4 linked regions of the Lonchura striata genome follow. The protein of the gene in region 1 purifies or fractionates together with the protein of each later gene. This does not show direct contact. Links are inferred from orthologs where the notes say so. Each region holds a gene or a part of one and is shown on either strand. Other genes may lie near its edges. The genes, in order: SMARCA5, HDAC2, RBBP4 and HDAC1.

What was found.
Region 2: the proteins of SMARCA5 (region 1) and HDAC2 fractionate together in Homo sapiens (co-fractionation; 5 studies listed by BioGRID, with this or other methods). This does not show direct contact. The link is inferred for Lonchura striata from reciprocal best matches to the Homo sapiens genes SMARCA5 and HDAC2.
Region 3: the proteins of SMARCA5 (region 1) and RBBP4 fractionate together in Homo sapiens (co-fractionation; 6 studies listed by BioGRID and IntAct, with this or other methods). This does not show direct contact. The link is inferred for Lonchura striata from reciprocal best matches to the Homo sapiens genes SMARCA5 and RBBP4.
Region 4: the proteins of SMARCA5 (region 1) and HDAC1 fractionate together in Homo sapiens (co-fractionation; 3 studies listed by BioGRID). This does not show direct contact. The link is inferred for Lonchura striata from reciprocal best matches to the Homo sapiens genes SMARCA5 and HDAC1.

What each region holds. Positions count from the first base shown.
Region 1 is NC_134606.1:64,813,223-64,820,610, reverse strand, and holds the start of SMARCA5 (SWI/SNF-related matrix-associated actin-dependent regulator of chromatin subfamily A member 5), read left to right. Parts: upstream 1-4,378; 5' UTR 4,379-4,477; coding exon 4,478-4,612; intron 4,613-6,897; coding exon 6,898-6,972; intron 6,973-7,388. UniProt on the Homo sapiens protein: ATPase that possesses intrinsic ATP-dependent nucleosome-remodeling activity.
Region 2 is NC_134605.1:67,189,299-67,196,485, reverse strand, and holds the start of HDAC2 (histone deacetylase 2), read right to left. Parts: upstream 3,001-7,187; 5' UTR 2,868-3,000; coding exon 2,816-2,867; intron 1-2,815. UniProt on the Homo sapiens protein: Histone deacetylase that catalyzes the deacetylation of lysine residues on the N-terminal part of the core histones (H2A, H2B, H3 and H4).
Region 3 is NC_134628.1:930,434-937,255, reverse strand, and holds the start of RBBP4 (histone-binding protein RBBP4), read left to right. Parts: upstream 1-3,801; 5' UTR 3,802-3,876; coding exon 3,877-3,892; intron 3,893-5,634; coding exon 5,635-5,782; intron 5,783-6,046; coding exon 6,047-6,192; intron 6,193-6,822. Other genes in the region: ZBTB8OS (protein archease), read right to left, coding at 14-135, 672-696, 2,070-2,157. UniProt on the Homo sapiens protein: Core histone-binding subunit that may target chromatin assembly factors, chromatin remodeling factors and histone deacetylases to their histone substrates in a manner that is regulated by nucleosomal DNA.
Region 4 is NC_134628.1:1,055,227-1,062,751, forward strand, and holds the start of HDAC1 (histone deacetylase 1), read left to right. Parts: upstream 1-4,511; 5' UTR 4,512-4,569; coding exon 4,570-4,618; intron 4,619-7,525. UniProt on the Homo sapiens protein: Histone deacetylase that catalyzes the deacetylation of lysine residues on the N-terminal part of the core histones (H2A, H2B, H3 and H4).

The sequences.
Region 1 (7,388 bases):
TTCCTTGCCCTGTCTCGCTCTGGTTGCAATACTGTAAGGTGAGGAGTGAACTTCATTAAAGGAAACAGGGCCAGGGCAGAACCTAGTTGCTGAGATGGAGGAGAAACTGGAGTTTTGAAAATGGAATGATCTGTGTCTGTGTTTGTGCATTATTTTTTATACAAAAATTTATTTTGCATATTGAAAAAATATATATGATTGCCTTTTGGTTGAGCTTTTCAGTCATAGCAGCAAAGAAATAAAATCTAAAAGCATTTTATTAGTTCTGGGGTTTTTTTCTGTGAGGGTGCTGCTTGTTACAGAATCTCCATTCTTCGAGGATTTCTGTAATGAGTATCAGCATTTGACTCCATATGGGGTCATCTTTTTTTGCATGGGTAAAATTTACTGATCAAAGGGATTGTTTTAAACTAGGCACAAGCAGAGTCTGATATGCTATCTGCATGCCATGTTGCTGTTACCAAATATTCTCTCATTTGTGGTTGGACACAATTTTAAAAACTTTTGGTCTTCACATGTCACTATATTTGCAGTCTACTTTTTGAAGGTAGACACACGACAGGCTTACAGTTTGCTTAAGCACGTCAGATGAAGTCTGGGCTGTTTCTTTTCTGTGAAAGTTTAATTTTACCAGGATGGCTACACTAAAATTTGAACAATCTCAATGTCATCTTCATGGCACTCAAAATTTAAAAAGCACAAGGATGAAATGTATACACCTACATATGTTAAACTCTAAAAAGTTTCCATTGCATTAAGAAATCTACTGAAATTAATATATGGTATTGTTTGCATATGTTGAGGTTTTTTTTTTTTGTGGGGATGGATTTTTTTAATACTGTAAATCAATGTGTTGACAGTTACGATAAAGCTGATGACAGTGACCTTTGCTGATAGGCAGAGTGTTTTGGGGTTTTTGTTTTATTTTGGGGGTGGTTTTTGGGTTTTTTGAAATAGATATAGCATTATTTTGATGACTTCTTTGACTGTTGATCGTGTGTGTGTGTGTACACCACCTCTTGCCTGCAGCACTGTTAATCTGAGGCTAGAAGAAAAGTGACAGTGACAGAAGTGATGGCTTTGAAATAAGTCTAATTGTATTTACTCTTGATGGGATAGTCCAGCTCAACATCAGCCTTGTGAGGAAGTAGAACTGGCAGTATCTCATCTCACGTGGGTAGTATCTTGCTTTGGCTCTGTAAACTAAAAAAAAATTACAATCCCCCACCTAAGATCTGAACACAAACCAAGTTCTTACCCCTCTCTTACCTTCTTGAACCCAAATGAGCATATCATGGAGCAACTACAAACAACTCTGTTTCACTCCTTCCGTTTCCCAAATTTTGGGAAGTTTTACAGTTTTGATACATGTTCAGCAATGCCTATTAGCATACTTGCTGCACAGCTAATAGTATCAGAGTTACTTTTACTTGTGGTGTTTCAATTTCTTGTTTAACAAGGAGCCATCTAAAGAACATTAATTAAAATTAGATTGCACAACTAAGCAACAAAATTGAAAGATGTGTCACCTGAGAGATTTGACAAAAATCTGTTATTAAACTGTTGTTTACTAACTTCATAAGCATGTTAGTAATTAGTTGTCTCTACTGTTGGGTAATGGCTGAGAGGGGATATCTTCCTTTACTGTGCATTTGACCATTATGTAGGTGTTCAGTAGGTTCAGTAACTTCTGTTATGAATTTCTTTATGCCATTGGTTGCTTTCAATTTAAGGTCTTCACATCTGGACTCTGTATGGACTGTTATGGTTTTGTGTGTTTGTGAACTTTTTCATGTTAACTTGGAAAGTCCTCTTTCCTGCTTTCGTTGGGGTGTTTCTTTGGAGGGGGGTGGTTTGGTTGTTGTTGTTGGGTGGGGTTTTGTTTCAGTTTTGGTTTTCTGGAGGTTTTTTGCATAGTCTTCTGTGCTACTTTCAGGACTTCAGAAAATTCAAAAAAAAAAAAATTAGAGCCTTTTGTCTTTTAACTTTTGGCAAGATTCTTTTTTTTTTTTTCAATTATTTTGCCTGTTGAAGTAGAGCTGAACATTCACCTTTTCTGATACCAATAACACAAATATCTCAACACCCCCACACCCTGGCATGGTGCTGTTTTATTTTGCTAGATGGCCAAGGATCAATGAGATTTGGATGGAGTTGTGCTTTTCTACCTTCCCCATCAAACCAGATCCTACCTATCAGTTTTAGTCTAAAAGATGGTGTCAAAGGTGTTGAAATATCCTCGCCACTCTTCCCAAACACCTGACTTCTTCCCAAGGGCCTTCTACCCCATTTTCCTTCACCAGTGATTCTCCATGTGTGGTTTTGTTTGTGTGCTTTGCAGGGGAGGCAAAAGATGAAAAATGGGAAAGGGGGAATGTAGCTCCCTTCCCACCATGACTTACACTCCTCACTACACAGAGAGCACTGCATTATCTGGAGCAGCTCTGGGAGAGGGGCAGGAGCTGAGGCACAGCAAGTAGACACAAAACTACGCTGGAAGAATAGAGCTGGCTAAAATAACACAGTTATTTTAATTTGTAATTTGCTGCCACATGTATTTTTAAAGTTCAAACTGTGTACCTGAATGAAAAGCATTTAGCGAAGCTCAGGGACAGAGTTTTCATCTGTGATAAGAGAGGACAACGAGGAGTTGGAAAAATATGTCAGTAAATTTGTGATTAGCTGAGAAATCCTATTCTAGGAAAATTGATATTTTCTGGGAATTTATTCTTCTGAGCAGTTCTAGCAGAAAAAAAGTGACACCGTCTTTTGGAAATGTCAAAGCTAATAATTTTAACTTCAAAAAATATTAAAGGATGCCTGTAATAAAAGACAATGGAATGAAGGTTGTAATAATCATCATGAAGATGGTCTGTTTTGCTGCTACATTCCAGGCTACAATGGTTTCTCAGAAGATGGAAGATGCAGCTCCACAAACCTATGGAGTGCACTCAGTGGCTGCATCTACACTGACAACTCTTGTGAATATTGCCGGAATACCTACTGGTGTGACAAATCTGCAGATGTATAGAGCAATTTGGATAATGTGGAGAACATGACTGTCCACATTGTGAACCAGTCAGGGGAGTTTTGCTTCTAACTAGCTCAGGTCTGGCCCTTTGGACAGCCTCTGTTAGCACCTTGAGTGCAATAGTAGTGCTCTTAAGCAGCTTTTCCTGTTCAGTTTCATCCTATTCCGTGCACTCCAGGGTTCTGGGATGCATGCTCTGGTAGGTGGCACCTGGCAGGTTATCTGTGAGGCATTGCAGGTGTAGATCTGCTCAATTACATCCTAAAGCAGGGGGCTGCAGCCCACGATGCTTCAAGCTGGGAGCAGACACTGTGGTTGTATTTAGGTTACAAAAGTGTACTTCTGTGCCTACAAACTTGGCCTGGCTCAACCTGAGCAAGCGAGAGCAGGGGACTTTGGAGGGTGGCTCTGTGTGACACCCTTTCTGTGAATGTTCAAGTCCCTCTACCCAGAGCTCATGGAGAGATGAGGAGCCCATAGAGCAACCTGAAGCTGCCTCTTGAGTAACTTACGGTATAGCACACTGCTGTCACCTGCTTTAACCACGCTCCCTGCCGCTCCCGCACGGGGTGCGGGGCTGCTGCTGGGCTCCAGCCAGAGCATGGCTTCACCTCCTCAGGTGATTCCTGAGCCTTTCCTGGAGGGCTGTGAAGATGGTGAAGGGCCTTGAGGCGAAGCCACGTGTGGAGCAATTGAGGTCAGTTCAGCCTGTAGCAGACTGAGGGGAGACCCCATTGCAGTTGGAGATTGAAGGGAAGAGGAGGGATAAGCACTGAGCTCTTCTCTGTGGTGACAGCGAGAGGATCCCCCAGGGAACGCCCTGAAGTTTTGTTGGGGAAGTTTAGGTTGGATGTCAGGAAAAAAATCCTACCCCCAGAGGCTGGGCCTGCGCTGGAACAGGCTCCCCAGGAAAGTGGTCACAGCACGAGCTCAAGAAGCATCCGGACCACGCTGGGGCACAGTGTGACCCTCGGGCATGGCCTGTGCAGGGCCAGGAGGCGGACTCGGCGATCCTCGCGGGTCCCTTCCAACTCGGAATACGCTGTGATCGTACACAGGGCGTGAAACGCGATGCCAGCCGCGATTTGAACTCAGGTTTCCCGTACGGCTGTGCATCGCAGGGAGGCGGGGACGCCGCGGTCGCACCGAGCGCCGCCGAGCTCGGCGGGGCCGGCGCGCGCCGCAGCGCCCCCACCGGCGGCGGCGCGCGCTGCTCGCGGGGGAAGTCTCGCGAGCGCGGGCTCGCGGGGCGACTCGCGCGCGGCTTGGCGGCTCCCGCCGGGACGGGCCGGGCCGGGCCTCGCTCCCTCCGCCGGCCGCGCTCCGACACCCGCAGGCCGCCGCCGCCGGCAGATCCCGGCTGCCGCCCGCGCCTGTCCGCAGCACGCAGCCCGCCGGACGCCAGCCCGAGCCTCGGCGAGGCGCCGTTTCCTCACGACGCGGATCATGTCCGCCGGGCAGCCGCCGCGGCCGGACGAGCCGCCCGCGCCGCCGCTGCCGCCGGGTGCCAACACCGGCGAGGCCGCGGGGACGGGGCCGCCCTGCGCCGCCGGCCTGGCCGGGGGCGACGCGAAGATGGAGGTGAGTCGGTTCGGCCGGCGGGGTCCCCCCGCTCCCCCGGCGGCAGGTGGGACACCCGGGCCGCGTGGGGCCGCGGGAGACAATGGAGGAGCGGCCGCGGGGCCGCACCGGGCAAGGCCGGGCCGCGCTCGGTCCCGCCGCCCTCCCGCCGTGAGCGTGGCCCGGCGCCGTGCGATGTCTGCGGTGTCCCGTCCTTCTCGCCCCCTCCCCGCCGCGGAGGGGTCGCGCTCGTCCTGCCGCTGGGACGCGCGGAAGAAGGCACTGCGGCCGAGGCACGCCACTTGTTTTCCAAACGGGGCGGCGGGAGCCCCCCGCGCACCCCCAGGCTTTCTGTCTGCTCCTGCTTCCCCGAAACCCTGCCCAGCCTTTGCGCTTCCTGCTCCAGCCGCCAGCCAGCCCGGTGTCTAAAACGCATGAGCGATGTTTGTCTGCTGAAGTGCTTCAAAACTTTTTTCTATTTTTTTTTTCCTTTTTTTTTCTTTTGAGAAAAGAGGTGCGAGGGTTGTGAGAGGGGTTGTTTTGGCAATAGGTGCATATATTCCAGAAATTTCAGGGGGTTGGAAGTGATTGCCTGGAGATGCTAATTCTATCGCGGCATTGTTTCTTTAATGATAGCAGGAAACTGGTCGGTCCTGCTTTCAGCGCTGGGTATTTTGTACTCTGAGTCACGCTGGGCTGTTCAACCTACTTGTGCTAAATTACATTGCAAATGCCATGTTTTTCGGATGAACAAGTAGCCAAAGCACTGTGGGAAATTAATCTTGCTCGAACCTGCAGAAATAGGGCACTTCCAGGCTGGAGTTTAGCGTGTGCAGGCTGAGAAACGCGTGCTCTTGTGGCGCCCGTGTGCGAGGGCTCTCTGTGCTGCCAATTCCTTTCCTTTTTTTACCTTGGGAAGGGATTTCCTGGCGTACAGTGAAGTTTGAGTTGGAATGCCTTGGAGCCGTGAGCATCTGAAGGACTGTTTTCCCTGGTCTCCAGCTCAGCTGCAGGGTTCTGTCATCTGTGCAGCAGATGATGAGCTCGGATGGCCGTGCCGCTCTGCTGCTGTGCTTTCCAGGTTAGGCATTGTGGCAGAAAGGGGAATTGCGAACAGAAGTTCCAACGGTCCTCTGCTTGTGCTTACTTGGGTGTTGGCTCAGTCCAGTGAGGGATGAGTAAGAGGATTTAGTTATGATTTCAGAAGAGCTTTAGCCATGACTTCTTACACTCAATTCTTTATATTCTGTCTAGTGAATTAAACATTTGTGTTAGGATTTTTCTGTTTCCACATGCCTCACCTGCTAGAGGCTTGTGAGGAAATACCCACTGACGAATATCCTGTTTCTTGCCAGCCTTTGTTTCATTTGTTTCTTCTCCTGTTCCTTTGTTCTGTATTGGCCGATAAAGATTTAATTTAGCCCCATACTTACTAAACTCAAATAAACAGTAAAAACACTTGACGGCATCTCATTTGTTTCATTTTCTCAATCTTTCAACAGTTATTTTGTTATGTGTTACCTTAGCATTGTTTATCAGGGAAGGATCATCTCACTGCTTTTAGTTTTAACAGGAGATGAAAATGCATATGGGGAGACAATATGCAAAGAGTTAACCTAATGACAGAAAAGACAAGGATGAAAAAGCCCTGATCCAGAAGAGTAATTTAAGGCAGTATGTTAAGAATTTGGCAGGAAGGGCATGAGGGAAGACTGCCCTCTCCTAGCCAGCTGGTCCTTCTGTTGTTAGTAGTACCATGGGTGATAAACATTATTTAATTTAGTAAACTATGTAGGAAAAAAAAAATACAGTTTCCTAAACTCCTCCTCAGCTTTCAGGACAAAAGTGCAGTGTGGATTCTTGTTTAGATTTGTTTTTTTAATACACAGTGATGAGGGATTGGGGTAATCTGGCAAAAACCTTGAAATTGCTTCAGGCCTAGAGCTGGTGCTTTCACAGTCCGTCTCAGAGCCAGCTTCAGGGGGGTTGGCTCACAACCCTAGAACTGGCATGCTGATCTCCTGGACCACAGCTGTCTCCCTCATTCACATTGATGTGATGCTTTAATGATGGAGCTAAATCAGATTACAGAGACTCAGCTCTGTCCCTCACCCTGTGGCAGGGATCTCCGATTCATCTCCAGGTAATTGTATAGGTAATAATAGAGAACTGACTACTGTCTATCCACATCAGGTGCTACGACCAACTTTTGCTGCTTTGATACAATGTGAAACGAGCTTGTTCTCCTTTAGATGGGTATCTTCTCTTTTTCAGAAATATTTCTTCTTAATTCTTTTTCATCTCAGGAGCCTTTTGATGATACGTCTCTGGCAAAGCAAAAAGAAATCCAGGAAACAGATCCTACATATGAAGAGAAAATGGTATGTAATATTTGGCACTGTGTACATTTAGTACTTATGCACTTATTTAAAATAGATTTGAGTTTTCTGTTTGCTTGTTTGAAATATCTTAAACAGATTTATAAAGATTTGTCTGGGTATTAAAAAATATTTAAGTAACTTGAAACAAAAAATATTCAGAAGAACACTTCTGGGACCATTCTCCTTTCCAGGATTTTAAAGTTACCTGTAGAGCAGTTCATCCTCTAGGCAAGGGGGATTATAAAGAGTTGAGCATTCAGCTTCTCGGTCAGAACTGGAAAGATTGTCTAGGAATCTCTTTATGAAGCTTTAATTAGAGTCCTCAGATTTTTGAAGATGGATGCTGGTTTTGTGCTTCACAGGTTAGAAAGGAGAAAATTTGTTATTTTCCTTCTTTTTTATTTTTTCATAGTTTT
Region 2 (7,187 bases), on another chromosome or scaffold:
CACACCAGTTGCTGCACGATTCTCTAGAGCTGTGCCAGTCTGTGCAGGAGCACAGAGCTGGAAAGACCATCTGGGGTCTGTTCTCACTGCTGTGGGCAACTGTACAACACCTTGGAAGAGCTACCTGAGCCACAATGCTGCAAAACCATGACAATAACCTGAAGACACATGGCAAGAGAGTAAACTAAAAACTATGATAGCCTTCCACATCTAGCATGGTTCTAAGCAGTGTGAGGAGCACACTTTGTTAAGCTGTATCAAGACTAGAAGAATTTCTGAAAAATATTTTAAGCAAGATCATGGAAGTATTTAAATTCATATTTTAATTCGTTTTTCCCATAGTATACTGGCTTAAATTTAAGCAAAGTTCCTGACCTGAGCATGATCACAAGCAGTGAAGATTCTGCAAAATTGGATGTGGTTAACTTTCTATTGCGAGCAAACTCAAGATAATGAAATCAAGCTTTGTCTACTCAAAGTTTATTAGTTCCACATACAGTATGAAGACTGTTAAAACTATTGATTTAGGAAAAAAAGCCTTAACAACAATACACTCTAAAGAAGTGACAAGCTAATTAAAAAATCAGCATTAAATGACAATCATACCAAGTTTCACAAAAAGCAGGGGGAAGTTTATTGCATCTCAGAAGATAAGCGTATATGCTTCTGGAACTTTTCAAGACCTTTTAGTGTGTAACTTTTAAGAAACAGAGTAAAAGTACGTGTGGAGAGCCAATTATGACCCAAAAAAAGAGGTAATTTACTTCAGACATGACATTCCTTTAGAGATATACCACTACCTCAGTATTTTTTTTTGTTTTGGGTTATTTAAGGCTTCAAACACTCTGTTCACTGTGATTCAATGGCTTTGCTGATACAACAGTTAGTATTATTCAGAATTGCCAGATGAACCACACAGTAGCATCAGGATATCTATTTTCGGTATTAACTCTAAAATTTTTTCTAATAACTCTATTTCCAAAAGGCATGCAAAATAATTGTTGGATTTGGCAACACAAAAAAATGAGACATCAAAAATATTCCAAAACTGTTTCTGGCACATATAAAATATTTATTTTAAGGTACAACAGGTAATATCTTCTCTACATTATTAACTACATTTATCCTAGTCTACAGATAAGCTGCAACTGCTTTAAGTCACCATTTTCCTGCCACCTCCAAACTTGCTCCTCTTCCAGTTTCTCCTGACTCTTCACAAGTATAGCTTTAATCATTAGATTAGGGAATCTAATGCTAGCATCGAGTACCAAATCCAGTGATCACAGAAAAACACTGTATCAACATCTGGTGAACTACAGCTACCTGACTTTATCAAATAAAAAAAAAAAAAAAAAAAAAAAGGAAATTGATTTTAAAAAAGGCAAACATTTTCAGAGAGAAAGCTTATAAACTATCACTGCTGTCTTTATTTCAACAAGGCGAAAAGTGATTCCTCTTCCCTAGGAAAAGTAAGATCCTAGCCTCAACAAAAGTATCCCTAACAGGGGCCTCCTTTCCCCTTTAGGCTGAACAAAGAACCACTGCTAGCAACAAAGAGAAGGGGGCGGCAACCACCACTCTGCCTTCTTTAGTGTGGTTAAAAAAAAAGCCAAGACAGGCCCCACAAGATCTGCCATTTCCAAAGAACAGCAGGTTTGCTACAGCAACACAACCTTTGATATCTTGAGTGGGTTTAGCCACTCATCTTCACTTCCAAAATGGTGAAAACACCAAAGGTCTCCGGCTGAACATCCTCAACCTCTGTTTGCTGACTATTTCCAAGACCAGTCTCAGATGCAGCCATACAAGATTGTTACAATAGGAGGCAATTTAATCAAATCTCTAAACTAATCTGCCCATCTAGCTCACCTCCCAGTACAAAAAGGGCTAAATAAATTCAAGCTTAAGAAAACTAGAAGTTCTTGGTGCTGCGGCCAGAGAAAACCGCAAACAAGTTGCTGAAAATATCTCAAACCAAGCACTTTTTTTGCCACGACTGACAACGCCGATCGCAAGCCCCCTGTGTCCCCACTACACCAGTGTGGCAAACTCAGAGGGCCTACATGCAAGTCAAATTCCACTATTATTAACCACCCACGCACACAACTTTCCGCGTTTTGCGGGAAGGGAGGCTCGTGGGAGCCAGACCTCTGCTCTGATCCGTGTTCGGCTTGGGAATGGGGGAGGAGGAGGCAGAGAGCCCCTGTCCCTCCGTACCCCAGACCTCGGCATGAAAGCGCTAGGCAGGGAAAGGCCTCGGCTCAACAATCACCAGGTGCCAGAGCTACACATGGCCTGGACTTTCTTTGCAGGGGAGGAGCCAGACACAGCAGCAGCTTCAACGCCTCCCTGCTCAGCGGATGGAGGGGAGTGTCTCAACTTTTCTTCTTCTTTTTTTTTTTTTTTCCTCTTTTTTTTAGGGGGCGGGCGGGGGGGGGCACGACGCGCGGGCGGGTGGTGAGTATTTTGGGGCGAAACAATGGCCACAGCACCTACCACCGGGGCTGGGGGATAAGGGAGCTCCCCGACCCTCACCTCGCCCGACTCCACCACGCCGGCCCCGCCGCCCCGCGGGGCTCAGCAGAGCCGCCGGCGGGAGCGGGGCGCGGCGGCGCAGGTGAAGCCAGCGAGGACCCCCGCCCGCCATGGGGCCGAGCCGAGCCGGGCCGGGCCGGGCGTGGGGAGGGGAGGGCCTCGTCCCGCGGGACGGGGGCGGCCGTGCCGGCGGGACCAGGAACACAGCCCGCCCCGGGCGGCCATTAGAGGGGCGCCCCCCCCGCTCTTGCACGCGCGCTCCCGCGCCGGCCCCGCTCACCGTCGTAATAATAGCAGACTTTCTTCTTGCCGCCGCCCTGACTGTACGCCATAGGGCTGCCGCGTCGGGGCCGTGGGCAGGGAGCGGGAAGCCGAGGAGAGCGCGGAGCCGGCTCGGAGGGTGGGAAGGAGGGGGCGGGAGAGCGGGAACTCGCGACGCCGGGACCGCCAGCAGCGGGAGCGGGCCGGACTCTCGGCAGCGGGAGGGGCAGCTAGCGGGACGCGCCCAATTTGCCGCCGACAGAGGGAGGAAAGGGAAAGAAGGAAGAGGAGAAGGCGCACGCGAGCGGACGTGGATTCCCGCCGCCCCCTCCGTGAAAGTTTTCCTTAGTTATACACAAAAGCCAGGGAAGAAGCCAGTGGGAATTCTTCATAAACAAATTCTTGGAGAAAACTATTTTCTGTCCCACCCCCACGGCGCGCAGTGGTACGATCCGCCGCGGGTGTCGGGGCGGTACCCCGCCCCTCAGCGGAGCTGTGTGGCGCATGCGCGGGGTGTCCCATGGCGGCTGCGGCAGGAGCGGGCACGGGGACCGCCGCGCTTGGGGCGCAGCGGGCCCGGCCCTGCCCAGCGCCAGGGCCGCGGCCGAGCCCCTCAGCCGCCCCGGCACCGCCCGGGGCCGCGGCCGAGCCCCTCAGCCGCCCCCGCACCGCCCGGGGCCGCGGCCGAGCCCTTCAGCCGCCCCCGCACCGCCCGGGGCCGCGGCCGAGCCCCTCAGCCGGCCCCGCGCCGCCCGGGGCCGCGGCCGAGCCCCTCAGCCGCCCCCGCACCGCCCGGGGCCGCGGGGCCTCGTCCCCAACCGCGCAGCGCTTTCCGCCGCGCTAGGGCCCGAACTTCATCCTCATCAGGGCGTCTGCAGATGCTCGGCCGGCTGGGTTGTCGCGTCTGGTCCCCTCCCCAACTGAAAGTCTACTCTTTTCCACAACAAAACTCGTTTCTGTTTTGTTTCGGCTTTTTTGAGTGCTCCTGTCTGTCAGTACTCTGTCTTAGTGGCAGGCGTTGCATCTCAGTATTCCTGTTCTAGAGGAAGTTCAAAGCATGCTTCATATAGCAATTCTCCCAAAAAATCAGCGCATGCCACACAAGAAGCATTTAACATCTGAATAATTTTTTTCTGGAGATCTATCAGCCGTTTTCTCTCCTTGCCTCGGCTCAGGTACAAACTCAGGAAGGAGAAGCATGACGGCATTCATGCTTAGCCAGCTTGCTTGTATTTCTATTTATACAGGGATTCACACTTGTGATGCCTGATAAACTGAGTCTGGGGGTACACATCAGTTACACTAAAGTTTACTGTTTCTTCAGCTGACCCCAAAGGCCTATATTTACAGACTTTACACTCATCCAAGTCTTGACCAAAGTTTGTTGATTTGCTGGAGTCTCTAAAAGTAACTAAAACCCCTGGTTATTGCCACATGTGCTTCACTATTTGAAAACAAGGCAACAAGTATAACCTATGTCACACAAAACCAATACATGCCTGAACACAGGTTTGGTCTTTGTTCCCAGGATTAGGTTGCTTTTTCCCCTAGAAGTACCTCACAGGGGTCTGGGTCCTTGTAATTGATTTAAAAAAATAATTTTATATTATTAGAGACAGACAACTGTAAAATAAGTTTGTTAAGCACATGCATGCACAAACACCTTAGGATAATCCTGGATTCCACCCCCCATCCTTCACCTTTTAACTAAAGGATATTATGTTACGATGTCATCAGATGGTATAGCATTTTTAAAGAGCTTTTTTCATATTCCATTTGGAAATTTTTCTCTTAGACATAGCATACAAAATTTATTCCTACATCTTATAATACAGCTGATGTTTGTTTCTTGGTGTGAAGTGCAGCAAAATACCTGTATAACACTATCAGAGGCACGATATCCATTTACTGATAAATTCCTTTTTATCTCAGCGTTCTTAGTGCTGTCACTACTTGAACAGACTTAGATTGGACTCCAGAAGCTCCATGATTTTGTATTGGCTAACCACCGCATTATATGCTTCTTTGACCACTAAAATTCAATGTGTTTATGAAATTACTCAACATTTTGTAGTTGTCTGATAAATTTTTCTATCAAAATAGTAAAACAACATATCAACTACCTCAATATCAGGAATACTTTTATTGCACCACATAGGGAATTCAATAAAAGCAGTGATGTATTGTTAAAGTTCTTATTAGGGACTTCATGTGAAGAAAAAAAGCTCATAATTTTAATTAGTCTCAAATGGATACTCAACCTCATATAGGAATAACTTATTTTGGTTTAAATGGCCTAAATCAAAAGAGGCTATGTTGCTTTCAGGGCAAAAATAATTATTCATAGTCTTCTAACATCTGAATTTAGGCAAGTGCAGCTCTTATTTAGAGAAACTCCTTGAATACCAACTCATACCTGCATTAAGAAAGTGTCAATAAGCATATAAAGTTATCCTTTTGTCAAAGGGGTAAGAATTCATTCACTGAATTCACAGTAGCTCAGTATGACAGTAAGGACACTATTACATTTAAAGGTCAGTAAAGCTTAAATATCAAGTTTCACGGGTTGTGTATACGAGGGTGATTTCCTAGACCAGTCCCGCTTCTAGCAATGCAGGTTTTGCAGATGTCTTCAAAGCTGCTTGTTAAGTGAACAGCATGCTACACAAAAGCTAATGATCGAGAGGAAACTTCGGAGCGTCACTTGTGGGGTAAACAGACACCCACACCGGCCAGCTGAGGCCCAGGCCCCTTGGAAAACTGAATAGACCAGATAACAAAGTATCACTGGGAAAGGCTGCTGTTACTTTTACTATGTTGCAACATGCAGACACTTTATAATGTAATGATTATTTTTTTTCTACCTTCCTGTAATGGCTTGTTTCTGTTACTGGGTGAATGCTAACGTTATTTCACTCTTTCCCTGCATCATTATATTAACATTAGCTTGTTATTTCACACTGAATTTATGTTATACCTTAGATAGTAAGGTTTTTTTTGGGAAGGGACATAAAAAGCAGCAATAAGGATCTTTTAAACAGAAGAGTAACTTTCATCTTCAACATATACATCCAACATTGCAATAGAAAGTATTATTATTTCTTACACATTTATCCTAAATCACATCTACTGTAAAAACTCACAAAATGATGAGGCAAATAATGGACAAGAAGGTCTCTATAAGTAACAGTTTATCCCTTTACTGTTCTTATCAAAAAGCAATCTATAATTCTCAAATCCCTTCACTCTCCCTACCTCCACTCAACTAAAGGTATTTTTAAAACAGAGCTTAAATGGAGGATCTGGAGCACCTATTTTTTCTCTTAACTGCTGCTATAGAAAAGCAGTATTACTTTGCACACCATGAAATGATGAACAATTCACCTTCTTTCTCTCTCCTTGCATAATCTAAAAGCAGAACGATACAGCTAGAAAGCTTGCCATCACCTAAGCTTATTTCTTATCCAAACTATTAAAGCCCATGCACACACGTCGATATAGCCACCTTAATTCTCTTTAACAGAGCTCAATAACTAATGAAATTGACAGGAAAAAAAAATGCACTAAAACTGAAAATGAAATCTATAGCAAATAAAAAAGAAACCCCAAACAGCCAACCAAACTAAAAATCAACCAACAAACCATTAAGAAACAACAAAACTTCTCTTTAAAAAGCAAAGAAAATTATTCACCTAAGAATTGATGAATCTCTGTATTAGCAAAGGCCAGAAAGGGTCTTTAAGATCACCTCATTCCAGACCATAAAATCAAAAATAAAAGAAAAAAAAACCCCAACAATCCAAACTAGTTTAGAGAAACATACAAAATATATTCATAAATTCAACTCCTCATATAAGAGTTACAGCTTATACCATTAAGCACAACTCAGCACACCCCACCCACCTCCCTTACCCCTAGCCATATTCCTTTCTCCTACCACCCTCTTTTTATCTGTGAAAGCAGCATTTTCAAGTGATACCTATTAGCACCATTCACAGCTGCAAGCTTGTAATCAACAGACATATATGTGTGGAGAAAAATCACAGACAATGCTCTTGACTTGTTCTGTTCATGCTGTTGATAGGCCTTAGATAAGCTCTGGAAAGCATAAGAGTAAATAAAGTTTTGGAGTCACTTTCCTGAGAAGAAAACATAGTTTTCATCATGCAAATACCTTGCTAATGAAATCACTTTATGTAGAATGTCAAAATCATTAAAGAAAACATAGATAAAGAGAACTAAACAAAAAAAAAGGTTCATATTTGCTCAGATTCAGATAGCTTATTTGCCCAGTAAGCACTGACAATATTGCTATCTACCAACTGCTTTTGAATTTCAAGGCTGCTCAATATCCTTCCTTAATTGCTGCTGGAAATTGCTAAGAGTAATAG
Region 3 (6,822 bases), on another chromosome or scaffold:
GTGCAGTCCTCACCTTCTGCCTCTACCTCCACCGTATCCACAGGTTCCACAGTGCCTGTGTCTGTCATGTAGCCAAACATGGCCATGGCACACTGCTCAAAGGCTTCTTCCAAGGTGTCTCCCCAGGCATGGAGCCTAAAAACACATGCAACAATCACTGGAGCCTAAAAACACATGCAACAATCGCTGCAACACAATACTGGATCACAACAAAAAGGAACAGCCCCAAAGTCACATGCAAATGAGCAATTAGAACATTGGAACTCAGGCAGAGGAGGTGAATGAGTAAAAAAAACCACCTGATTTTTCTAGAAGAAGTTTGTCAGAAGAGTTTCTTGGGAGAATGTGGAAAATAAATGTTTTACTAGTTTTCTTTCCTAATGTGACTAAATGGTGTCTATAAAAGTAAACCACACAGAAGAAATTTTGTTTAAAAGGAGATTTCAAAAGACGTTTCCAAATAGCACTGAATGCTAAAAAAGAAACCAAACGTAATTCTATGGTGTCCCAAAAGCAGGAGCAAAACTGACCATATCAAAGCACCCAGTGACATTTCAGAGCTCCACAAGGTGTTACATCTGCAAAGTGTCCTTGGCTGTTACTCCAGGCTTAAAGCAGTGTAAAAAATAATCAATTTGTCACCCTGAGAAATCCCAGCTGCCCACACTTACTGCACATCTGCTGTGTGATCCAAATCTGAGGGGAAGCAAAAAGAAAAGGAATGTCACCAAAAGTATTTATAATATAAGGATTAAAAAAATAACAAAAATATCTGATTTTCTAACAAAACATTTTTACATTCGTCTGCATATATGATAAATCTACTGTAGTATATTAGAAAAATTTAGCACAGGTGGAAATTTGGATATTATTTCTGCCAAAAAACCTGTTTAATGTGATTATGTCAGTGCAGGGTTTGGCTGCTGTAACCCAACAGGCTTCCACAGGTTAACTGCAATAACAAGAAACTTTCACCAGGAGTAAAATGTTTATGCTGAAGTCTGCAGGACTCAAAGTTATTCATGCAGAGGATGAGATTTGCAAATATTTCCAGCTCAGTAAGGAAATCTACCTGTGCACACCCAAAAGCAGCCATTATGCAAAGAGAAGAATTTAAAACAGAGGATGGAATATAAAATAGAAGGCAAACTTTACTCATGGAGCATGATTAACATCCCATGTATCCAGCTGTACGTGAACCTTGTTGATGTTTATTCAAAGAAATTAAAGAAATGAAAATTCTAGCAGAACTAAGTTGGGATGTGAAATAAATGCTCACTTTAACTGAAAAAAAAAAAAAAATTTGGTGCTGTTTAAAGAGATCACGCACTATTAGACAACAGTCTCTAAAGCAAACAAATTCCTTTGGGTGCAAAAGAGGGATAAAAGCTCCTCCAGTTATGGAAACTGTGTGGCTGTTGTGATGTGTCACAATTTCTGCACTTCTAGCAAATAAAGACCTGAACACAGCCTAAAAATAGAAATTCTATCAGAGGTTGGGCTGCCACCCACATCCTCTGAGGAGCCATTCCCGGGGTGGGGAAAGGGAGAGATCTTTAAGGAGAGTAAAAACACCACACACAAAGCCAGCCCACTTTTTAATGTCCCTTCCTACAGGAGAGGTAGAGAAATTGCTAAAAAATGGCTCAGAAGAGGAAAAGTTTTCAGGGTGAGACCTGAGTCATTTATTTCCAGCGTGTTGTTTTTTTTTTTTTTTTCAGTGCCCATAACAAGAAAAATTGTTTATATGAGGGAAAAAAAGAAGAAAATAAAAATAAGAAAAAATGAAGAAGAAAAAGAAGAAAAAATGAAGAAAAAAAGAAAAAGAAAAAATAAAAATAAGAAAAAAATGAAGAAAAAAATAAAAAGAAGAAAATATGAAGAAGAAAAAATATAAAAAGAAGAAAATTAAAAAAGGAATGAGGAAACACATTGAGGAAAAAATGAAGAAAGTAACATGAAGAAAATTGGTTTTTCATTCCTGTATTTCCTGTTATCTTCCTTGCCCTCACAACAGCACTGCCACACGCTGCATCATGATAATATTTTAAAAAAATAAAAATACTCACATTCATATTTCTTGCAGAGAGGGGGGTACTTGTCCTTCACAGCCTTCTGCTCCTGGGTCAGGTTGTAATCCCTGTCCTCGGCTGCCATCGCTGAGGGCTCCCCAGGGATCCCTCCCTTCCTCAGGCTGGGGCAGAGCCAGGAATTCTCCCTCAGTTCCTGCTTTCCTCACAAACCTGTGGAGAACAGGGAGGATTCCGAATTTCAGCTGGTTTGTGTCAGATTGGGAGGGAAGAAATTAAATCCCACACCCATGAAGTGATGTTTGGTCAGGCAGCAGAGCCAAGGGAAAATATTCCTTATAGGAATTGTGGATTTTGGCCTTTTCTGGGAGGAATTCTGTTTTTTTCCTCCTTGTGTACATTGAGCATTCAGTTCATTCACAATTAATAAAATACAGCCCTGATGGGAACTGCTGTGAAGTGAATTAAACTTCCATGCTTTAGGTTAATTTCAATTTTCTAATTAATTCATTTTTTGAGGGTGCTCAGCCCATTGTACACCACACACCTGAAGTGTCACTGCCCCCAAAAACCCCTGATGTGACCTTACAGGTTTTTCCTCAGGAAAAAAATTAAACCTCAAAGCACGTGCATGGTAAATCCAGCTGTCACCCAAGTGCCAGGGGCTTCCTGTGTTCCTTCTCCAGCTGATTTTTTAAATAAAACAAAAAAAAAGAATTGTATCAACTGTAAAAAACTGTATAAAGAAAAGAATTGGGGAAAAAAAAGAACTGTAAAAAAGAAAATGTATCAACTCCCCCATATAAAAGTCAGATCCTCACACCCCAATCTCACAAATTTTATTTTTCCTGTTCTTTTGTAAATTCAACATGAGAGAAACTGATGAACCCAATTAACTTCAGGCTGATTAATTTACCTCTCCAGATTTCCAGATATCACAACGATTCTTTAATATTTTTGTGCATTATAAGAATTATCCTCAGCTGAACCCAGCACTTCCCCAAACACAAATAATTTATAGATATACCTTAACTTTTACACAGGAGTCGCTTCTTACTCCAAAGCTTAGAAACAAGGCTTAAGATTTCCAATTTTTAATTTCAGCTAAAAATCTAAGTGTGTTGGAAAGAGGTGTCTGAAGTTGAGAACTCGAGGTATCCCTTGAGGAATAAACCCAGATACTGATATTTGATTTTAAACCTGTTAAGCCTCACCTGTGGACAGCACAGCAGCCGACCAGAACCAGCAAATGTCACGCCTTTAAAACTCACCGCGGCAGTAAATTGTGGGAAAAGGGAACATATTCGTGATTACAGAGAATTAATAACACGCCGAGGATACCCAATGGTGGCAGGGCGGCCCTGGATGGCGGCCTCGGCCCACACTCGCACCGGTCCGGTCCCGCTGCGATACGCACTTCCCACGTCTGTGGTGACCGGAGGAGCCGCAGCCACCGCTTCTTCCAAACGAGGGACCGGGAACTGGCACCGAACCCGGCGCCCCTCAGCTCGGGGCGCGGCCCCTTTAAGAGCGCTCCTGAGGGCGCTCCGGAAAATGGCGGCTCCCACGGGGAGCCCGCCCACGGGACGGCGGCGCGCGCTCCCCTCCCCGCCCCTTTGCCCTCCGCCGATTGGCCGGCGCCTCCCGGCGGCGGGCGCTGATTGGGCGGCGTTGGCGCGCGAAGGGGTGCGCGGCGCCGGCAGCCGCACGCAGCGGGGGCAGGAAACAATAGACGGAGCCGCGGCCGGAGGGGTCGGAGCAGGGAGCGCAGGGAGCGCAGGAACCGCCCGCCCGCCTCGCCCAGCCTCGCTCCCCGCGCCCCGCCGCGCTCCCCCCCCGCCCCGCCATGGCGGATAAGGAAGGTAAAGGCTCCGTTATGGGCGGCGCGGCCTCCGCCGGGAGGCGCGGGGTTCCCTCCCTCTCCCCCCCCGCAGCTCCGTTACGGCGTGAGGGGAGCGGGGCGGTGCCGCCAGGGGGCGCGCGGGGGCGGGGCCTGAGCGCTCCCCCTCAGGCATGGCCGCCGCCGCTCCCCGCGCCCGCCGCACCGCCCGCGGGCAGCGGCCCGGGCCGGGGCCCTCCGCCCGCCCCTGTGCCCCTCGGAGCGGCTTGTGAGGCCGGGAGAGCCGGGCCGTGCCCTGCGCGGGGAGCGGGCACACGAGGGTGGCACCGGAGGGTGCCCCGGTTGGGCGGGGGTGCCTCCGTTTCATGGGTGAGCTCCGGTCCCGCAGGGGGGTTCTCCCCTCCCGTGGGAGAGCCCCGGTTCTGTGGGGGTGTCCCCCAGTTCCTTGAGGATGTCCCCAGTTCCTTTAGGGTGTCCCCCCCATTCCGTGGGGGTGTCCCCGGTTCCTTGAGGGTGTTCCCCGGTTCCATGGAGGTGTCTCCCTAAAGGACACCCTGAAGGAACTGGGGGACATCCTTGGTTCCATGGGGGTGTCCCCGGTTCCTTGAGGATGTCCCCCGGTTCCTTGGGGGTGTCCCCCATTCCTTGAGGATGTCCCCCGGTTCCTTGGGGGTGTCCCCCATTCCTTGAGGATGTACCCCCGGTTCCTTGGGGGTGTCCCCGATTCCTTGAGGATGTCCCCCGGTTCCTTGGGGGTGTCCCCCATTCCTTGAGGATGTCCCCCGGTTCCTTGGGGGTGTCCCCCATTCCTTGAGGATGTACCCCCGGTTCCTTGGGGGTGTCCCCGATTCCTTGAGGATCTCCCCCGGTTCCTTGGGGGTGTCCCCCATTCCTTGAGGATGTCCCCCGGTTTCTTCAGGATGTACCCCCGGTTCCTTGGGGGTGTCCCCGATTCCTTGGGGGTGTCCCCCGGTACCTTAGGGGTGTCCCCGATTCCTTGAGGTTGTCCCCCAGTTCCTTCAGGATGTGTCCCCGGTTCCTTAAGTATGTACCCCCCGTTCCATGGAGGTGTCCCCCGTTCCATGGGGGTGTCCCCAGTTCCTTTAGGGTGTCCCCGTTCCACGGGTGAGCCCCCCCAGGTCTGCCCGTCACCTTCTCTGCACCGGAGGCTGGTGACAGATAGGCCAAGGAAGTGTTGGAGAGCTACAAGGCAGCAGAAGGAGCCTTGGGAAACTGGATTTTTGGGAGCAAGTAGTTCAAGGCTGCGCCCAGACCGGTCTGTTAAACAGCAGTTGCTGGATCTCCTGTGTTTAAACATCTTTACAAGCCTGGGTTTTGCCTCCCTGTGCTTGAGTCTCAGAATTTTATTGTGCTGCTCTAACAGCATCGTCCTCAAATCATCCCAGAATGGATTTTCCTCTTCTGAGCCATTTCTTAAACTCATCCCATTCCACCCCTGCCATGGCAGGGACACCTTCCACTATCCCAGCTTGCTCCAAGCCCTGTCCAGCCTGCCCTGGGACACTTCTAGGCATGAAATATGACATAGTTAATGTTAATTCCCAGCCATGTATGCATAAAAAAGGATTAGCATGTGCAACAGGGGATTTTTAACCGTTTAGTAACTATTCCAGTAGAGCAAATAGCAAACCAGGGTGTGATTGATGTACTTGACTCTAACCCATTGCCTGCCCACAGCGCTGTATGTCTGTAAATTCATTTACAAATAATTAATTGCATGTATTTCTTGAAAAAACACTTCAGCAGCCTTTGATGATGCAGTGGAAGAGCGTGTGATCAACGAGGAATATAAGATATGGAAAAAGAACACCCCCTTCCTGTATGATCTGGTGATGACCCATGCCCTGGAGTGGCCCAGCTTGACTGCTCAGTGGCTGCCTGATGTCACAAGGTAAAGGGACCCTTCTGCTCTCTTTTTAAAGCAGAACAAGCAGAAAATCCAGGATTGTGCTGGCTTTTAGGTTGAGATCACACAATCCCAAAGTGGTTTGGGCAGGAAAGGACCTTAAAGCTCATCCAAGGACACTTTCCACTATCCCACATTGCTCCAAGCCCTGCCCAACCTGGCCTTGGACAAATTCCCCTGTGCCAGCACCTCCTCATCCTCACAGGGAAGAGATTTGGTGATCCCTGTTTTGTTTCTCTTCCCCTGCAGACCTGAAGGCAAAGATTTCAGCATCCACAGGTTGGTGCTGGGCACCCACACCTCAGATGAACAAAACCACCTGGTGATCGCCAGCGTGCAGCTGCCCAACGACGATGCCCAGTTTGATGCTTCCCACTATGACAGTGAGAAAGGAGGTAAGAGCCCAAAAAAAGGGGAATTTGAACCATTTCCCCTTCCATTTCTCAGTAGGAAATTCTGTCTTTCCCTAAAGTTCAGGCAGCAAAGTTTAGATTTTACTTCTAAAAAAAATTATTTCTAAGTGGTGCCTCCTTAATAGACAAATTCTGTTTCTTGAATGTGTTACTAATCTAATATTTCTGATGATGGAAACAGACAGTAGAGGTTGATTGCAAAAATATTTGTGTGTGGGAAAACCTCTCCCTTCCCTATTTTTCAGGAACTGACCTTGAATCTCACATACTGCTTTTAATTGGTGTTTTTATTACCACATTTGCATTACGCAAAGTCACACGAAACATTTTTACACAAACTCACGTAAAAGAATATTTTTATTTCAGAGGAGTGTTAACATTTCAAACATTCTGTGAGTTCTGCTGCCTGATTGCTGTTCCACAATTATATTTCATTCCATGTATCAGACTTTAATTTGATGCTTTGTAACCTTTGTGGCTGTCTCAAGTTAGACATTTCTCCTGTTTGCTTGGCTGAATCAGTCTTTCCACCAGGTGAAAGTCCTCAATGATCCAATGTTTGCTCTACTTTTTACAGGAAGTTTGGATTGTGCAATGAGTATTTTGCTCTCT
Region 4 (7,525 bases), on another chromosome or scaffold:
TCCCTCCATCCTTTCCCTCCATCCTTTCCCTCCATCCTTTCCCTCCATCCTTTCCCTCCATCCTTTCCCTCCAACCTTTCCCTCCATCTTTTCCCTCCATCTTTTCCTCCATCTTTTCCCTCCATCTTTCGTTTGGGGCTGTGAAACTCCATCTCCAGCCACCCCTTACAACTCCCACCCAGCTTTTGGAACCTCCAACATCTCCTCCTCAGCTTGGGCTGCCCCGTGGAGCCGCCCTCCTTGGCTGGCACCGCTGCCCGGTGTCCAGATCCCATTTTTGCCTTTTTTTCCCCCAAGGGTTCTACAATGGGCACACGAAGGTGGCAGTGAAGAGCCTGAAGGCTGGCAGCATGTCCCCCAGCGCCTTCCTGGCCGAGGCCAACCTGATGAAGAAGCTGCAGCACCAGCGGCTGGTGCGGCTCTACGCCGTGGTCACCAAGGAGCCCATCTACATCATCACCGAGTTCATGGAGAAGGGTGAGGCCACCCCTCACCCTTTGGAGGGCTCCATCCACAGGGAAGTGGCCACGGAGCTCTGGAACTTTAAGGCTGGAAGAGATCTTTGGGATAAAGTTCATGCTGTGAAAAATCCCCACTTCAACAGACAGAGCGCTGGGGCCTGGGCATTGTCCTGACAAGGGTGGCTGGGCCTGGCGTGGTTCTTGTGGCCCAAATTGTATCCTGGGCATTGTCCTGGCAGGGGTGACCAAGCCTGGAGTGGTTCCTGTGGCCCAAAATGGGTCCTGGGCATTGCTCTGGCAGGAATGACCAACCCTGGCATGGTCCCTGCCACCCAAATTGTGTCCTGGGCATTGTCCTGGCAGGGGTGACCAAGCCTGGGGTGGTTCCTGTGGCCCAAAATGGGTCCTGGGCATTGCTCTGGCAGGAATGACCAACCCTGGCATGGTCCCTGCCACCCAAATTGTGTCCTGGGCATTGTCCTGGCAGGGGTGACCAAGCCTGGGGTGGTTCCTGTGGCCCAAAATGGGTCCTGGGCATCATCCTGGCAAAGGGTGACCAACCTTAGACTGGTCCCTAAAACCTGGGGGTGATCTAGCTTGAGTCCTGGGCATTGTCCTGGCAGGGGTGACCAATCTTAGGGGGGTCCCTGCCACCCAAACTGGGTCCTGGCCATTGTCCTGGCTGGGCTGGTCATTCCTTAAACTCCTCCAGGGTGGTGACTGCAGCACCTCCCAGTGCAGGCTCCAAAACCAGTCAGAATGAAAGACTGGCAATGTGGAAATTTGTTCATTTTAGAGGTTCCTGCGCCTCCAGCCCCGGGGAAGCTTTGCCTTTGTTCTCTCCCATATCCAGCTGGGGCATGAAGGATTTTCTGTGTTCTCCCGGCCACATTGCCAGAGTTTTTTTTGGGGGGACAGGGCCCTTGTGACCCCCCAGGCCCCCCAGGAGCTGAGAACTGCTGCTTTCATCACAGGCAGCCTCGTGGACTTCCTCAAGACCTCGGAAGGAGTCAAGCTCAGCATCAACAAACTCCTGGACATGGCAGCGCAGGTGAGGGGGGAGCAGAGAAACGGGGAGAGAGCTGGGAGACCTCCGGAGCTGTTAATTAACAACTGCAATTCATCCATAATTACAAATCCCAGATTGCCGAAGGCATGGCTTTCATCGAGGCCAAGAATTACATCCACAGGGACCTGAGGGCCGCCAACATCCTCGTCTCGGACACTTTGTGCTGCAAAATCGCCGATTTTGGGCTGGCCAGGCTCATCGAGGACAACGAGTACACAGCTCGGGAGGGTGAGCCCCGCCCAGCCCCGGGGGTCACCGGGCTTGGGGACACCGGGAGGGGGACCCGCGGCCAGCCTGGATCCCCGGGGAGCTGCAGGAGAGGGGTGCAAGGATGGATTTTGCCTTTTCCATCTCTCTCCCCCCGCGGCTGGAGTGCTTTGGGGGGGCTCCCGCAGGCTCGGGGGGCTCAGCCACCAGAGCCAGCCGGTGCCCAGGCAGCGACAGAGCTGTCACACGGAATTCAATCAGGTTCCAGCGCTTTATCCTCCCCTTCCCACCGCTTTCCAGGGGCCAAATTCCCCATTAAGTGGACGGCACCCGAGGCCATCAACTACGGGACGTTCACCATCAAGTCGGACGTGTGGTCCTTCGGCATCCTGCTCACCGAGATCGTCACCTACGGCCGGATCCCGTATCCAGGTGAGGATTTTGGGGCAGCTGCGGGGCCGGCACGCCCGCGGTGTGTTGTGTGTGTGTGTGTGTGTGTGTGCGTGTGCATGCAGCGCTGCACGCACGCTGCTGCCAGCCTGGCACCCTGCCCGGCCCGGCTGCACCGGGCACGGTGGCCAAAGCCACCTGGGGAGGGGATGGAGGGGATGGGAGGGGATGGGAGGTGCCCCCCATGCGGGGTTTGGGAGGGTGGGGAGAGGTACCTGCCACCCAAAATGGGTCTTGGGCATTCTTCTGGCAGAAATGACCAATCCTGGGGTGGTCCCTAAAACCTGGGGTGACCCAAACTGAGTCCTGGGCATTGTCCTGTCAAGGGTGACTGAGCTTGGGGTGGTCCTTGCCACCCAAATTGGGTCCTGGGCATTGTCCTGGCAGGAATGACCAACCCTGGGGTGGTCCCTGCCACCCAAACTGGGTCCTGGCCATCCTCCTTGCAGGGGTGACCAACCCTGGGGTGGTTCCAGTGACCCAAACTGGGTCCTGGCAGGGGTGACCAACCCTGGGGTGGTTCCAGTGACCCAAACTGGGTCCTGGCTGGGATGCCCAACCCCAGGGTGCCACCCACACCATGGGGATGACCCGAATCGGGTCCTGGCAGGGATGACCAACCCCGAGGTGATCCAGAACCTGGAGCGTGGCTACCGCATGCCGCAGCCGGACAACTGCCCGGCGGAGCTGTACGAGCTGATGAGGCAGTGCTGGAAGGAGAGCCCCGAGGAGCGCCCCACCTTCGACTTCATGAAGAGCGTGCTCGAGGACTTCTTCACCGCCACCGAGGGCCAGTACCAGCAGCAGCCCTGAGGGTGCTGCTGTGGGGTGCTGGGGGTGCCCCACAGACCCCACGGACCTCACCCAGGCTGGGGTGGGGAGCTCTGTGAGGATTTGAAGTGCTCCAAAGCTTGGGAGAGCAGATTTGAGTCCTCCAGGAGGAGCTGCAGACCCCCAAAGCTTGGGGCATGGCGCAGATGTCCTCAGGGTGCCCACCCTGCCATCCCTGCTCTTCCCAGAGGGAAAATCCAGGCTCCAGCCCCCCAGGGCTCTCCTGCCCCACTCTTGTGTCCCTTTCACCCCCTTTTGGCTTCATGAAGAGCGTGCTCGAGGACTTCTTCACCACCATGGAGGGCCAGAACCAGCAGCAGCCCTGAGGGTGCACCTGTGGGGTGCCCCACAGACCCCATGGACCTCTGAGGGGTCCAGGATGAGGGGGGAGCTCTGTGAGGATTTGAAGCATTCCAAACCTTGGGGGCTGCAGATTTGAGTCCTTAAGGAGGGGCTGCAGACCCCCAAAGCTTGGGGCATGGCACAGGTGCCCTCAGGGTGCCCACCCTGCCATACCTGCGCTTCCCAGAGGGAAAATCCAGGCTCCAGCCCCTCAGGGCTCACCTTCCCCATTCTGTGCCCCCTTCACCCACCTTCGACTTCATGAAGAGCATGCTTGAGGATTTCTTCACTGCCATGGAGGGCCAGTCCTTGAGGGCTCTGCTGTGGGGTGCCCCACAGCCTCCATGGATGTCTGAGGGGTCCAGGATGAGGGGAGAGCTCTGTGAGGATTTGAAGCATTCCAAAGATTGGGGACTGCAGATTTGACTCCTCCAGGAGGGGCTGCACAGCCAAAGCAGTCCCCCAAAATCTGGGGCATGGCACAGATGCTCTCAGGGTGCCCACCCTGCCATCCCTGCGCTTCCCAGTGGAAAATCCAGGCTCCAGCCCCTCAGGGCTCTCCTGCCCCGCTCTGTGCCCCCTTCACTCCCTTGGGATGGCAGGAACCCCCCCCAGCAGCGCTGGCCACCGCACCCCGCGGCTGCTGGAGCTCCCTCTGCCCTCACGGCGTGCGCAGGAGAATTTTACAGCGACTTTGGGGAAATAAAGGCATTTTCAGCAGCGGGGGCCAGGCTGCCACGGGGTGCGGCACGCGGGGCGATGCCCACAGCACACGGACCCCACCGGCACCAACCCACCCCAGGGAGCCCCTGCGACCCCCGGGACCCCCCCTCAGCCCTGGTAGCCACCCCTGGCCCTTCACTCGCCCAACCTGCCCTGGCTCCCCCCTCCCCTGGGATGGTTCAGCCCCACCTGCCCCCCCCACCCCACCAAGGGAATGGTTCCTCCCTGCCCACCTGGACCCTCGATGGTACAGCCACCACCACCCCCCCATCCCCCGCCGCAGTGGTACAGCCCAAGCACCCCCGGCGCTCAGCCTAACTTGCTAGGTGCCGCTGCGCCTTGCCATTGGCCAGCGGGCGGGAGGGGGAGGAACGGAGAGCTGCGATTGGCCGGCGCGGCGCGGGGGGCGGGCCCGCGGGCCCGGGGCGGGCGGGGTTGGGTGCGCGGCGCGGCGGCGGGTCGGGCGCTGTGAGGGGAGGCAGGAAAATGGCGCTGACGCAGGGCACGAAGCGCAAAGTCTGCTACTACTACGATGGTGAGGAGCTGCGGGCACCCCCTCGGGGCTGCCGGGCCGCGGGGGAGCCGTCCTGGGGCGGGGGGGAGGGGGGGATGAGGGGGCATCGCGGACGGAGGAGGCGGGGGTGAGGGGTGAGGGGTCATGAGGCGGTAATGGAGAGGGGGGTGAGGGTAATGGGGTCACTGAGGGAGGATGGGGGTGCTGGGGGTGGGATGAGAGGTTGGTAATGGGGGATCGTTGGGGTCATGGAGGTGAGGGGGTTGAGAGGTTTTGGGATGGGTGTTGGGGGTATTGATGGGCGGGGACGGTCGGGGAATGGGGATCAGGGGTTGTGTGGGGTTTTTAATGGGGTTGAGAGGCGTAGGGAGCGTGTGGGGGGCATGGCAGGGGTATGGGGAGAGCTGGAGAGGAGAATGGGAAGAGTGGAGGGAGATCGGGGGGTGGGATGGGGAAATTTGGGAGATTGGGGGAAGATCAGGGGGTTGGGATGGGGAGATTTGAAGATTTGGGGGAAGATCAGAGGGATGGGATGGGGAAATTTGGGGTTTTGGGGGAAGATCAGGGGTTTGGGATAGGGAAATGTGGGGATTTGGGGGAAGATCAGGGGGATGGGGAAATTTGGGGATCTGGGGATTTGAGGGAGTATCAGGGAAATGTGGGGATTTGGGGGAAGGAACAGCGGGATGGGGAAATTTGGGGATCTGGGGATTTGAGGGAATATGGGGGAAATGTGGAGATCTGGAGGAAGATCAGGGGGATGGGGATTTGAGGGCATATCAGGGAAATGGGGGTTGGGATGGGGAAATGTGGGGATTTGGGGATTTGAGAGAAAACCAGGGAAATGTGGGGATTTGGGGGAAGATCAGGTGTTTGGGATGGGATGGGGAAATGTGGAGATCTGAGGATTTGGGAGATGGGAAAGGCTGGGAAGGGTCTGGGCTTGGTGAGAGGGGCTGGAGGCCAGGAGAGAGTCTTTTTGGGTGCTGAGGTGCTGGAGGAGGATTTTGGGCTCTGAGGAGGATGAGGCACTCCTGGGACAGCGTTTTTTTGGGGTCAGCAGGGGCCAAAAAGCTTTTGGGAGCCAGGGTGGCTGTGTGCAGGCAGCTCCTGCCAGGAGCATCCTCCAGCTGTGCCTCTGGAGTGTGGATGGTGGCTCCTTTTGGGGCTGCCTCAGCATCCCTGTGCAGCAGGGAAGGAACAAATCCCAAATCCCAAATCCCTGGCTGTCCTGTGGGGCTGAGCAATCCCAGTGCTGCCCCTCTCCCTTCCCCTGCTCCTTTTTCGCTGCCTCTGTGCTCACCTTGTGCCACAGGCCTTGTGCAATTCTCTGCTCCCACACGGTTTTTGGCCTGAAATCAAATAAAAAACTTCTTCTTGCTACTTTTTCCCCCTCTCTAAGGAAGGAGGCTTTTCCAAATCCTATGCTCAGAGCTTTTTTTTCCCCCTCTAAAAATGTCGTTTTTTTCCCTTCAAATAGGAGGTTCTCAGCCCTGCTGGGTTATAATTTTTAAAGGCATTGAATTATATCTGAAATATGAAATAAGCAGTTGTTTTGTTTGAAATGCTGCTGCCCTGCAGGTCTTTGCTGCACAAGAATTTCACCAATTTGGGTTCCATACTTTGTGGTGAGCTTTTAGTGCCATTTTTTAAATTTTTTTTTTTCCTTTTTACTGTTCTTTTCTGAGCAGCTTTTCAACGTCCACAGCTGAGGGGTAAAAAGCTGCTTTTACTGAGAGGAAATAAATAATTTGTTGATTGGAGCCTTTTCTTTTCCACGCTGGGAGGCTGGAACCAGCCTAACCTGCTGTGGGAATTCCCTGAATTTCATGGGATGAAGGAATTGGGGTCCTTCCCTGCACTCCTGAGTGGCTGAGGAAAGATTTGGGTGGAATTTCTCCATTCAGAGCCTCCTGATGGAGGGATTTGTTTAACCCCAGCAGAGCCTGCTCAGTTCACACTCCTTAATCTGCTCTGACGTCCAGGAGCAGCTGAGCTCATCCAGGGATCCACAGGGCTTGGGATGTGCTCAGCACAGGGAACAGGAGCTCAGGGTTGGCCCAGGGCATTCCCTGGACAGCTGATGGGGATTTTTGTAAAAGCTTCTCCGAGTTCTGTGCTTCTATTTCCTATGTACAGCCTCAAACATCTCTTACAAGTTCCCCAAATCTTGATTTAGAGGTAGTAAAATCCGTCCCTAAAACACGGCAGGATGGTTACACCAGCACGGGTTGCCAAAATGTGAGAAAACAGAATTATTTTCAGTGAGAAAAAAAGTGATTTTACCTGAAAAAAAAATTCTATTTACTGAAAGAACATCTCCCCAGAGCTCCACAGACAGGTCAATTCCAGCAGCAGACTTGCCTGGATGTGGGATTTGCACTTTTGGCATCTCATTTTCCTACCTGGAAATAGATCCATGTCCACAGGAGGAAGAAAAACTGCTTCTGCTGAAGGTGGAGAGTGGTGATGAAATGTGAATTCTCCCCTCTGAGTCACCGGCCAGACCGGCTTGGATCCCCTGCTTCCCAAAAGGAGCAGGAGTTGTTCCAGCCCAGGAACAGCTTGGGCTGGTTTCCCAGGAAAATGAAGCTTGGGAGAGATTCCTGCTCCCTGCAGCCAAATCAGGCAGAAATCTGAAAGGGAAATTCCTGTGAAATTCAGGGAAATGAGTGCCCCTGGGAAAGGAGGTGGAATAAAAACCCCATTTATCAGTGAGGTGTGAGCTCAGTTTGGAGGAGAAAATCCACGTGGGGAGGTGACTTTGTTCCCCATGTCCCATAAAACAATTCCTGGCGGGTGGCTGGAAAGGCCTGGGAATCCTCTGGAGGATTTGAAGGGATCAAAAGGGGTGAAACCAAGTGTGGAGCTGTAAAAGCAGAGCTGGGTGGTGTTTGCAGAGTCCAGAGTTCCCTGGATCCCGTTTCC